2 linked regions of the Drosophila melanogaster genome follow. The protein of the gene in region 1 interacts with the protein of each later gene in a pairwise test. Each region holds a gene or a part of one and is shown on either strand. Other genes may lie near its edges. The genes, in order: ABCB7 and CG15741.

The links.
Region 2: the proteins of ABCB7 (region 1) and CG15741 interact in a two-hybrid assay, tested with the Drosophila melanogaster proteins (one large-scale study listed by BioGRID).

Annotation. Positions count from the first base shown.
Region 1 is NT_037436.4:1,616,557-1,623,913, forward strand, and holds ABCB7 (ATP binding cassette subfamily B member 7), read left to right. Parts: upstream 1-1,857; 5' UTR 1,858-1,944; coding exon 1,945-2,061; intron 2,062-2,291; exon of another isoform or gene 2,292-2,361; coding exon of another isoform or gene 2,362-3,702; exon of another isoform or gene 3,703-3,841; intron 3,842-3,871; coding exon 3,872-3,998; intron 3,999-4,260; coding exon 4,261-4,486; intron 4,487-4,546; coding exon 4,547-4,701; intron 4,702-4,760; coding exon 4,761-6,109; intron 6,110-6,175; coding exon 6,176-6,433; 3' UTR 6,434-6,857; downstream 6,858-7,357. Other genes in the region: CG33791 (uncharacterized protein), read left to right, coding at 1-745; CG13926 (uncharacterized protein), read right to left, coding at 868-1,065, 1,151-1,546; CG33230 (uncharacterized protein), read left to right, coding at 2,362-3,702; GC (gamma-glutamyl carboxylase), read right to left, coding at 6,957-7,357.
Region 2 is NC_004354.4:11,836,970-11,840,148, reverse strand, and holds CG15741 (uncharacterized protein), read left to right. Parts: upstream 1-2,122; 5' UTR 2,123-2,138; coding exon 2,139-2,546; 3' UTR 2,547-2,606; downstream 2,607-3,179. Other genes in the region: Cyp28c1 (cytochrome P450 28c1), read right to left, coding at 1-291, 352-539.

The sequences.
Region 1 (7,357 bases):
GCCAGCGACGGGCAACAAGGTGCAGCACTACAACGAGTACAAGGCCCTGATCACAAGCATCTTCGGAGAGCTGACGCCGGAGAACAAGAAGCGAATCGAGGATCGGATCAAGAAGCAGCAGGCAAAGGCCAAGGCGGATGCGCAATCGAAACCCAGTACTAAGCCACCAGCCGCTCCACCAAAGGGCGGTTCGTCGCCGCCACCAGGTAAGGGCGAATCTGGAGGAAAAAAGAGATCCGATTCGTCTCCATCTGCGTCTATAGCTCCTACAGGTCCAGCACCCCGTAAGCCACTGATCAGTCTGCCAAGTAGACCTCCAAGGGGTGGAAAGCAGCGGTCCGGCTCGGCTCCAGCTCCTAATCTGGTTGATGAAGATTCAGCTGCTCGAAATAGGGAACCAGATGCTTCTGCATATGATGGCGCATCACCGTCAGCTTGGAAGAGATCGGGCTCTGCTCCAGCACCGAGTGTAGTTCCCAGGGCATCGGCCTCCCGCAGTCCGTCTAGAAAGTCACCTTCACCCTCTCACGACGGCATATCTCCTTCTACAAGACAAGAATCCTTAAGCAAAAAGAAATCAGGGTCGGCTCCAGCTCCGACGCCAACTTCTCGTGGACCATTCCGGACTGCGCCCTCCAATACAGAATTCATAAAGCGCAGACCTGCTAAAGATTACGGCAGTAGAAATGAAACCCAAAGCACTCCCGGGGAGTCGGAACTGGACCCAACAAAACCACAGCCCTAGTTTGAATCCTCCTTTGTAAGTCCACCAATAAAGATAGGTAATAGTTACAGAAAGAATATAAATATAAAACTTTACTTGTAATATCAACAACTTGTGGAGGCGACGCCTCCATTGTCTTTTGCTCAGTACTTCCAAAAGTTTGGATTCTGTTCCATGCGACGCTGGAAATTCGTATACCAATTTTGAACGACGGAGAAGGGCACAAAGGTCTCGCTCGAGATGGGCGGGATGTCTCTGGCTGCCACTCCGAAGCTGGAGGCGTAGTTGAAGAAGTTCTCCAGCATTCGCTGACCAAATTGCTTGTTGTCGTTGGCAGTGGACTGAAAATTGGAAATGGGGTTAGATTTGAATCGCAATTATTGCGCCAATCAAATCGGTTGGCAACTACTGATCTTCAGAACTTACCACGGCTGGCGTCTGTTGGGCCACCGTTAGCTCCGGTTCGAGGGAAACTCCAATCTGTGCGATGTGTGAGATCTCCTGGCTGCCGAAGACCATCCCGTGAGCCTGGGCCTCCAGCTCGTGACTCTTCTTCAGCTGGGCGATTTTGAAGATGGCGGAGGGCTTGGTGTTGTTTATGTGACCCAGATACTGCCATGTGGGTGCTGCGTTCGCGTCCGGCCAGCTGAAATATATCGCAGCGGAGGTGCCGACGGGCAGGGGTGATACGCCGGTGAGGAATACTACCAGGTAGTTGACGGATTCTATGTCGGGCACATTCACGAGCAACTTGGTGGCGTCCACGGCCACAAAATCCGATTGGGGCAGGCGTCCGGAGACTATCAGACCGAATAGCGACATTTTCGAGCGGTGGACTATTCCAGAATTCGATATGCCCGCTTTGTTGGGGGAGGAGATGTTATGGAGATGAGCAAAAAGGAACTACCTTATCGATGCTTTCTTTCCTAATGGTGTACAGCCCACTACGTTTCTAACAAAAAAATATATTGAAGTATATTGGAATTTGTTGCTTGCATATGTTCTGACAGTTGATGCATATTCCAAAATCCTAAAAAAAGATTTTTTTTTAAATTTTAAATGGAACTAGTTCAGGCGACTGCTACTTGGCTTGCCATTCACAGCGATACGGCAACTCCAAACAGCTGACGCTGCCATGCGAATGCTGATATCGTAGCAAAAACACAGGGACGGTGCGAAAGAAGAGGGATTTTATTTTGTTTTCGCCTGGCAATTGAGTAATGGCCGGACTCCTTCACCTGACCAAGCAGTGCAGCATCCACCTACCCGCCCACTTGGGACGCGCGAAATGCTACACACTCGCTAAGGGACCGGGAACACACGTGCAGGCAAGAGTGGTGAGTGCTCGGCCTCTAGACCCATTTCAAGGCCACCTGCCAGACTATCTAGACTAGATTACGGTTTCGTAATTACGCGTAAATACGCAATAAATTGGCGGTTTGATTGAGTGGGGACAGCCGGCGATCGGCGGGGAAAACAGTCTGCGTGTGCGTTGTTTTGGTCCTTCTCCACTTCCATCCGATCAATCTTGAATTAATGCTCCACGCTATGGCTTATTTCGTTGCAGCAAGCATAGAGTTAGACCAAAACAGCGCGCACGCACACAGACTTGGAGGATCGATCGGGTATTGGGGACAATGGGTCGCACGCAGCGTCGCCGGCATCAGAGGGCCAAGAAGTCTGACGAGAATTCGGGCTCCCTGCACGACCTCTACGTTCATCTACACTCCGTTGGCTGGCAGAACCACACTCACTTGTCGGCCCAATACTACGAACAGACAGGTCGAGGACTATGCTCTAAACAGAAGACCTTTTCTCCGGAGGATGAGCTCATTCGCCTGCCCATTGGCTGTCTCATAAGCATAGCGACTCTGGAATCTGATGGGCCATTCAAAAGTCTTTTCGACGAAGAGTTATTTGACAAGGACTCCAGAATTTCCTTTCAGGCACTGATAGCCTGTTATATTTTGTACCACAAGCACTTGCAGGAGTGTACGCTAGGGACTCACTCCTCTACTTACGCTGCATATTTGGACACCCTGCCCAGGTGCTACTCCACTCCGTATTTCTGCTCCATACCCGAGCTACAGTGTCTGCCAGAATCCCTGCTAGAGCGGACCGTGGCCCAGAACCGTCAGATAAGAGGTTACTTTGAAATTATTAAGAACATTGTACACAAATGCGATTGCTGTGGGAAGAGCTACGGCCAGGAGATTTGGACACTCGCAGACTTTAAGTGGGCCTACTTCAGCGTGAACACTAGGAGCGTCCACCTCAGTTCCCGCTTTCTGAAAAAGCAGAGCAACTACTTTCAGCCGCTTATCAGTGGCGACACCAACCTGGCATTGGCTCCGTTTCTGGATCTTTTTAACCACTCAGATCAAGTGGAAATCACAGCAGGGATTGAGGGTCCCGATTACGTTCTTACATTGAAATCTCTGCCATTTTCCGAGACCAAACCATATGATCAATTGTTCATCAGCTACGGTGCTTTGCCCAACTTTAAGCTATTGACGGAATATGGCTTTTGGCTAAGAGAAAATAAGCACGATTACTTTGAAGTCTCCCTACTGGACATTGAGCACATGATTAAGCAAAACAAGGAGCTATCAACGCAAACCTTTCACCGGAACATCTTTAAATTCATCAGGGAGCACAATCTGAACGATCAAATGTTCGTGCACATCGACGATGGATGCTCTCACAATCTAAGGGTTGTGCTGCACCTGATCTTCAAGCAGCAGGCCTACTTTCCCAACATCCTCAACCAGATTGCCTTTGGAGACGCCGAGCAGTTTCAGGACGTGCAGCCAGAGCTGTCGTACCTCGTAGAATATAAAATAAAGGAATACGAGATCTTTGGAGGAGAGCTGGATAAGCTTCCTAAATTGACAGAAAGTGGTGCAGTGGCACGGTCTTACCTCCAAGAGTGTATCCGTTACCTCGTTGACTTTCAATCGGTGCATCTAGCTGCATAGAAGCTGTCTAGGCTGAGCTTAGAATTTAAAACAAGGCGTTTAATATTGAAATGAATAGTAATAGATGTTAAAGAAAAACTACTTAAGTTTATATTATTTGAGGCATTTAAATTTTTTTTAATAAATCACAGAAAACTGTAAACTTTATTTTGTAAATGACCCCTTTCAGCTGTACTCTTCGCTGACTAAGGTTGATGATAAGAACAGCAGCGATGCCAAGCGGAAGAAGATTACCCCGTTTACGCCCACGCCGGGTAGCAAGCTCCTGGGTGGAGTATTCGGCAAGAAGGCCAAAGGTAGGTGCCGTGGGGCAGCATCAGTTACCCAGTAAATAACCAATGCTCGAGTATCCTGATTAATACAGCACCCCTGCAGATATCCGCAGGCTTTTTATTTAGTACTAGCCTCTCACGCTTTTTTTTTATTGACTAACCAACCCAAAATTGATTTTGTTTTGTGGACCGAGTACGTGCGTCCGTTTGTTTCTTTGTTTGTTTGTGCGCTTGTTGTGTTGAGCGCCTGTCTGAATTTGGCTGCATCCAAGTGAATTCAATGCAGGTGGAGCCCCAGCAGCAGCAGCAGCAAAAACAACAACGCTACAGCGGCAGCGACCTTACCGCCCACAACAACAGCAATCACGACTATGTCATGTTCATATAGGGGGCGGCAGCGATGGTGGCTCGGGATTGGGCAAGCTAGACGCGCCGGAGGTCACCTCCAAGGATATGCTGCGTGCCATGATGGCCTACATCTGGCCAAAGGAGGATCCACTGGTGCGAAAGCGGTAAGTTCATCTGACTATGACTGAGAATACTTTAATATCTATTGTTTTCCAAATTGACAGGGTGGGTATTTCCCTGGGTCTGTTGGCTGGCTCCAAGCTGCTGACCGTCTGTGTCCCCTTCTTGTTCAAAGGAGCTGTGGACACGATGACAACGCTGAACATGGACACTGCCCCGGATGCGGTCCTCTCCGCAGCCACCGCACTGATGTTGGGATGTAGGTTTCTTAGCCTGAGTTCCCTATCATAAAAGATCTTAACTGTCTAATTCACGCAGATGGCATTGCTAGAGCCAGTGCGGCGGGCTTTAATGAGTTGCGGAATGCAGTGTTTGCCAAGGTGGCCCACCACTCGATCCGAAAGATCGCCAGCAATGTGTTCCTGCATCTGCACAACCTGGATCTGGCCTTCCACCTGAACAAACAAACTGGAGCACTGTCAAAGACCATCGATCGAGGATCGAGGGGCATTAACTTTGTGCTCTCCGCCATGGTCTTCAACATTGTGCCCACTATCTTTGAGCTGGCCCTCGTGTCCAGTATCCTGGGAGTGAAGTGTGGCCTGGCCTTCGCTGGTGTCAGCATGGGCTGCGTTGGCATATACGCTGCCTACACTCTGAGTGTGACCCAGTGGCGCACCCAGTTCCGTGTATTTATGAACCAGGCGGAGAACGAGGCCGGCAACAAGGCCGTAGACTCGCTGATCAACTACGAGACGGTGAAGTACTTCAACAACGAAAAGTACGAGGCGGGTTGCTACAACGAGGTGCTGAAGAAGTATGAGGCGGCCAGCTTGAAGACTAGCTCCAGTCTCGCTCTGCTCAACTTTGGCCAGAACGCCATTTTCAGCAGCGCACTGAGTCTGATTATGGTATTGGCCGCCAAGGAGATTGCCCAAGGCAACATGACGGTTGGAGATTTGGTGATGGTCAACGCCCTGCTCTTCCAGCTCTCGATCCCCCTCGGTTTTCTGGGCAGTGTTTATCGTGAGGTGCGACAGGCTTTGCTGGACATGCGGGCCATGTTCACGTTGATGAACGTGGACAGTAGCATTCAGACAGCCGCCAATGCCCAGCCCCTGTTCGTGGACACCACTAACTCATCCATTGAGTTCCGCAACGTGAGCTTCGAGTACGAACCTGGCAAGCCCATTTTCCGGGACCTCAGTTTCACCATACCCGCCGGTAAAAACGTCGCCATTGTGGGCGGCTCTGGCTCAGGAAAATCGTCGATGGTGCGCCTTCTCTTCCGCTTCTTTGAGCCAAACTCTGGTAAAGTGTTGATCGGTGGCCAGGATATCAGCGCCGTGGATTTGGAGAGCCTGCGCAAGGTTATTGCAGTGGTGCCGCAGGATTCGGTGCTATTCCACAACACCATCGAGCACAATATCCACTATGGCAACCTGTCCAAGTCCCACGCAGAAGTGCAGAATGCTGCCCGCATGGCTGATTTGCATGACTCCATCATGAGCTGGCCAGGACAGTACTCCACTCAGGTAGGCGAACGTGGATTAAAGTTATCCGGTGGCGAGAAGCAGCGCGTTGCCATCGCTAGGGCCATACTGAAGAACACCCCCATTCTGATCTTTGACGAGGCTACAAGCAGTCTGGACTCGATCACCGAGCATGTGAGTGTTGAAAGCGACTAAGTGAACTTCTATAAACTGACGGAATCGGACTTCTTCCCTTTGTAGAACATTCTGCAGGCTCTGACCCGCGCTACCTCAGGACGCACTAGCATTTGCATTGCCCACCGTCTCTCGACAGTCAAGGATGCGGACGAGATTCTGGTGCTCGAGAACGGACGTGTAGGTGAACGTGGCACCCATTCGGAGCTGCTGAGGCAGAATGGACTGTATGCCCGCCTCTGGGAGACGCAGACGCAGCAGTTCGACCCGAGCCGGGAGATCAATGAGGAGGTGGCAGCGAAGAAGACGCGGGGCGTGGCGTAGACGAGGCTCCTAGCCTATTTATGTGTTTGTTATAATGTTATAACCATCCCCTTCGTTTGGCAATCCCTAGCCACTAAATTCACCGTAGAATCCTCCTGGACCGGAGATTCGCTATTCATAGGCTTAAAGTATCATTGTGACGTTTGTAAATACAGCTGTAGATATGCGATAAGAGAAATTGAACGGGATGTGGTACAATATGGAACATTTATTATCAGTTTTATCACCCATACATTCGGTTATATCGCTCTGGTTTCCAAGGTTTTGTTTCGAGATTTAATTGATTTGAGCGTATCGTTATGTAAATGCAAAATAATGTGATATTATTAAATGCATTTCATTGATATATAGACAAAACCAAGAGGATTTGTGTATATCCTTCAAATCGGACCTTCATTTCTTCAATATAAATTGTTATCCTCTGATTTATAGGCAATATAGGTTTTGAATTTGCTTAACCAGATTTAATATCGAATCTAGATACGGCTAAAACCGAAATAGTGCCGATGGTTAGCCTTCTCCTTCAATCTCCCCCCTTTACGGCCTGCGGAATGGGCACATCGTAGAGCAAGTACATTAGGCAGTTGCCAATGTGGCCCAAAAACTGCTGGTAGTTGGTAACCCGATGCTGGAACTCCTGCCACAGCGGCAGGACAGACCGCTCCTCGGTATCAGGCTGTTCTATCGTGATGCCCTGCTCCAGCATCGTTTTGTTGGTGTATGTGAACAGATACGAAGCTGGCTTCTGGCCAATGGTGGTGACCAAGTGGGTGATGTTGCTCTCCAGACCGATGCTCTTGCCGGCTGTCAGGAAATAGGCCTCCGGATCCCGCTCGTTCCGGTACCGAACATTTCCCTCAAGAATGGTCAGCGTGCAGTTGATAAGGTCCGGCGAGATGAAGTTGGTCAGAGTTAGTCCCGGGA
Region 2 (3,179 bases), on another chromosome or scaffold:
AGATCCAGACAGACACGCTGCATGATGGCATGGGTGGTGCGGATGCGACCGTTGGTCAGCAGAGTGGAGAAGACCGCCCGCTGGTGGCGCCACTCTTCGCCCTCGAGCACGAATGGATTGAGGGCGACCAAACGATCCTTGGCGATGTCCACCATCTTGGAGGCATCGTTGTTCTCGAAATGACTGAACGCGCTCACATAGATCTCGTACACAAGGCGTGGTTCCAGGACGAGCAGCTTGGGTGCACGCAACAGGTAGCAGCCCACATAGCTATGGGTATTCCTGTAATGCCTGCAAAGAATATATACAATATACGACCATAACACCACACTCGAATATGCGTATACCCACATATAGATATCGCGCATGTCCATGGTGAAGTGCTGGCGTGGCCAAATCATGTTGGGAAAGGAACCGAAGAGCGGCAGGGCTCTGGGTTCTGTGACTCCGCGACGCCGCCAGTGGCCAAAGTTCGAGACCAGAAAGGCATAGATCGCGCCCAGCAAGGTGGCAATCCCCAGTAGAAGCGATCCAAACATGACGACGTTGTAAGCGAAACTGAGTGGATGAAATTGAATCGGATACGCGCATCTGGTGGCACAAGGAGATCGGCGGAGATTGGGGATCTCCTCCGTAGCGTGCTTCCATTGCGCCCCTATGTATATACTATGCATACATTTATTATTCCCCATTTTGCAATTGATCTTATGTGGGTTTGCGTGTCGCTGGAACAGAACTTAGTTGGTGTCATTATCGAATTAACCAGCGAACTGCTCTTATGTCAGAATAACTAAGGAGCTGCATTTCGTAGTCGATCAAGGAACGTGTTCGAAAGTAAAGGTGCACAGGTCAAGCCAGTTGGGGGGATCAGCGATAGCGAAAGTAACTGCCAACAATCTGACAACCCTGAACGTAGCAAAGTCAAGTCGCAAGACAATCGGAACACTTAATTCAACAAAAGAGGCCATTGTCGAATTTTTGTTTGAGCTGCTTTTTATTCGCATATTTGGGTGCAAATATTTATTCAGCAACGGTTCGTGCAAGAAGAAAATTCCAAGCAAACCATTTCTCTTTTTCGAAAAGATCGGCGAAAAACCACTTGCAATTTCAAATCGCCACAAATTGCCATCTACTATGTCATTTTGCGTTGTGACGAATGCAATTAGATGAGCTTGCTTGTCTGTCAGCTTAGTGATCTAATCAATCAACTGCGAAATCGAGTCTCTCTCTCTATTTGGGGATTTTGTGCAGTAGTCGCTGGCTTCATCAATCATTCAAGATTGTACCATGATTGATGGTATTATGTAAACGAATTGCTCTAATTCCGGAAACCAGAGAGAAAAATAAACAAGCATTGCTCTAAGATTATATATTATATTATATTATATTATATTATATTATATTATATTATATTATATTATATATTCTTTGGTAGAGAATATTAAAATATGATTACTGTTGCTTATAATTGATTTTCAAATATAGGTAGCTAGTCTTTAAGTGTAGTTAAGATCCCACTAGTCAATGGCATTGACATTGTTTCGCCAGACGAATCTCGAGACCAGACCGTATCCAATGGACTCCAGCCCAATCCAAAGTGAAGAGATCTTGGCCAGCTTTTGAGGGGATCATTCCGCTGGTCTGCAAGATATGCGAAAATTCCTAATGATATATTCTTATATGTTATACTAATATTTAAGATAATATATTAAATAATATACTAAAAAATGAAACAGAACTATCAAACAAAAGATATTTTTAAACTGCCTCACAGCTCCAACAATTCTTTAATTACGAACAGAAGTTTTACCCTCGATTTTGGCAAATAGTGCCAATTATGTGACTCGTGTGCAAACAAACTGGGATTCTGGGCGTGTTCTATGCAAATAGCGAAAATAATGAAAATAATGCCATGGATCGGAGCACCGGAGATCCAAGACAGATGACAAATGTGTGGAAGGGGGGGGGGGGGGGGGTGGGATTGGTGTTGGTTGCTCCGTATTTACCCTGGCCAAATATACGTTTAATCTTCGGGCGGTTGGATGCTCGTTAGATGCCATGGATAGGGGTGCTATAAAAGCCTGGTTAGAATAGAGATAAAGGCACAGTTCCAAGTACCACTGCCCCAAAGCCGCAAGATGCGATTCCTCTGCGTACTGATCCTCGCCAGCCTCCTGGCAGTGGCTAGTTCAACTTCATCTACTTCACCTGCTTCATCTACTTCACCTGCTTCATCTACTTCACCTACTTCGTCCACTTCTCCAACTTCGTCCACTTCTCCAACTTCGTCCACTTCTCCAACTTCGTCGTCGTCGAGTTCCTCATCATCCACGGCGACCACCACTACAACGACAGTTGCTCCCACGACCACCACCACCACGGAGGCGTCCAGTTCATCATCGTCGAGCGATAAGAAAGTTCGGCACACGAGGCACTACGTCAACCGGCGTCACAGGAAGGACAAGAAGACCACCAAGAGCAAGAAAAAGAACAGCAAGAAAAACAAGAAAACCAAGAAAGTCCGACGCACCCGTCGCAGTGGTTAAATATTTTCTTCCTTTCGAAATCGAAATCAACCCACCGATCGCAGAAAAAACTATGATTGCATCACATCGTAATATATCTTTTTTTTTAATCAAATAAAGTAATTGAAAAATATTGAAAAATACATTTGCTGTTTCGAAATGAAGTTATTTTAAGTGAATATATAATAATATTATATATATAAAATCCTTGCAGAGAAAAACGATAATTGCTGAGTTTTTTTTTTTTAGTTTATGCATTTATTATATTATATGGTGGAATCAATTCTAGAATCGACCTCTCAAATGAATTCTATGACACTTTCGGTTATACAAATGAATTAAAAAAGATAGATTTTTTTTTTTTTGTGGTTTTTGTCTTATAGGCTTTTTTTTGTTTTGTTTGATTTTCGATTAACTAAGGGGAAAACATGCGACGACATGAAATGAACATCGTAATAAGATGCCCACATAAACGTAGATATATGTATATACTCATATATTTAGGTATGGGTTTTAAGTAAATGTTCTGCCAATTTGCGTATCTATATGTCTATATATATATATATATAAATATATATATATATATGTATGTGTATATATGCGAAATCATATCCGTAGACTTAGATGGCTAAAATTTGTTGCTGAAAATCGAAA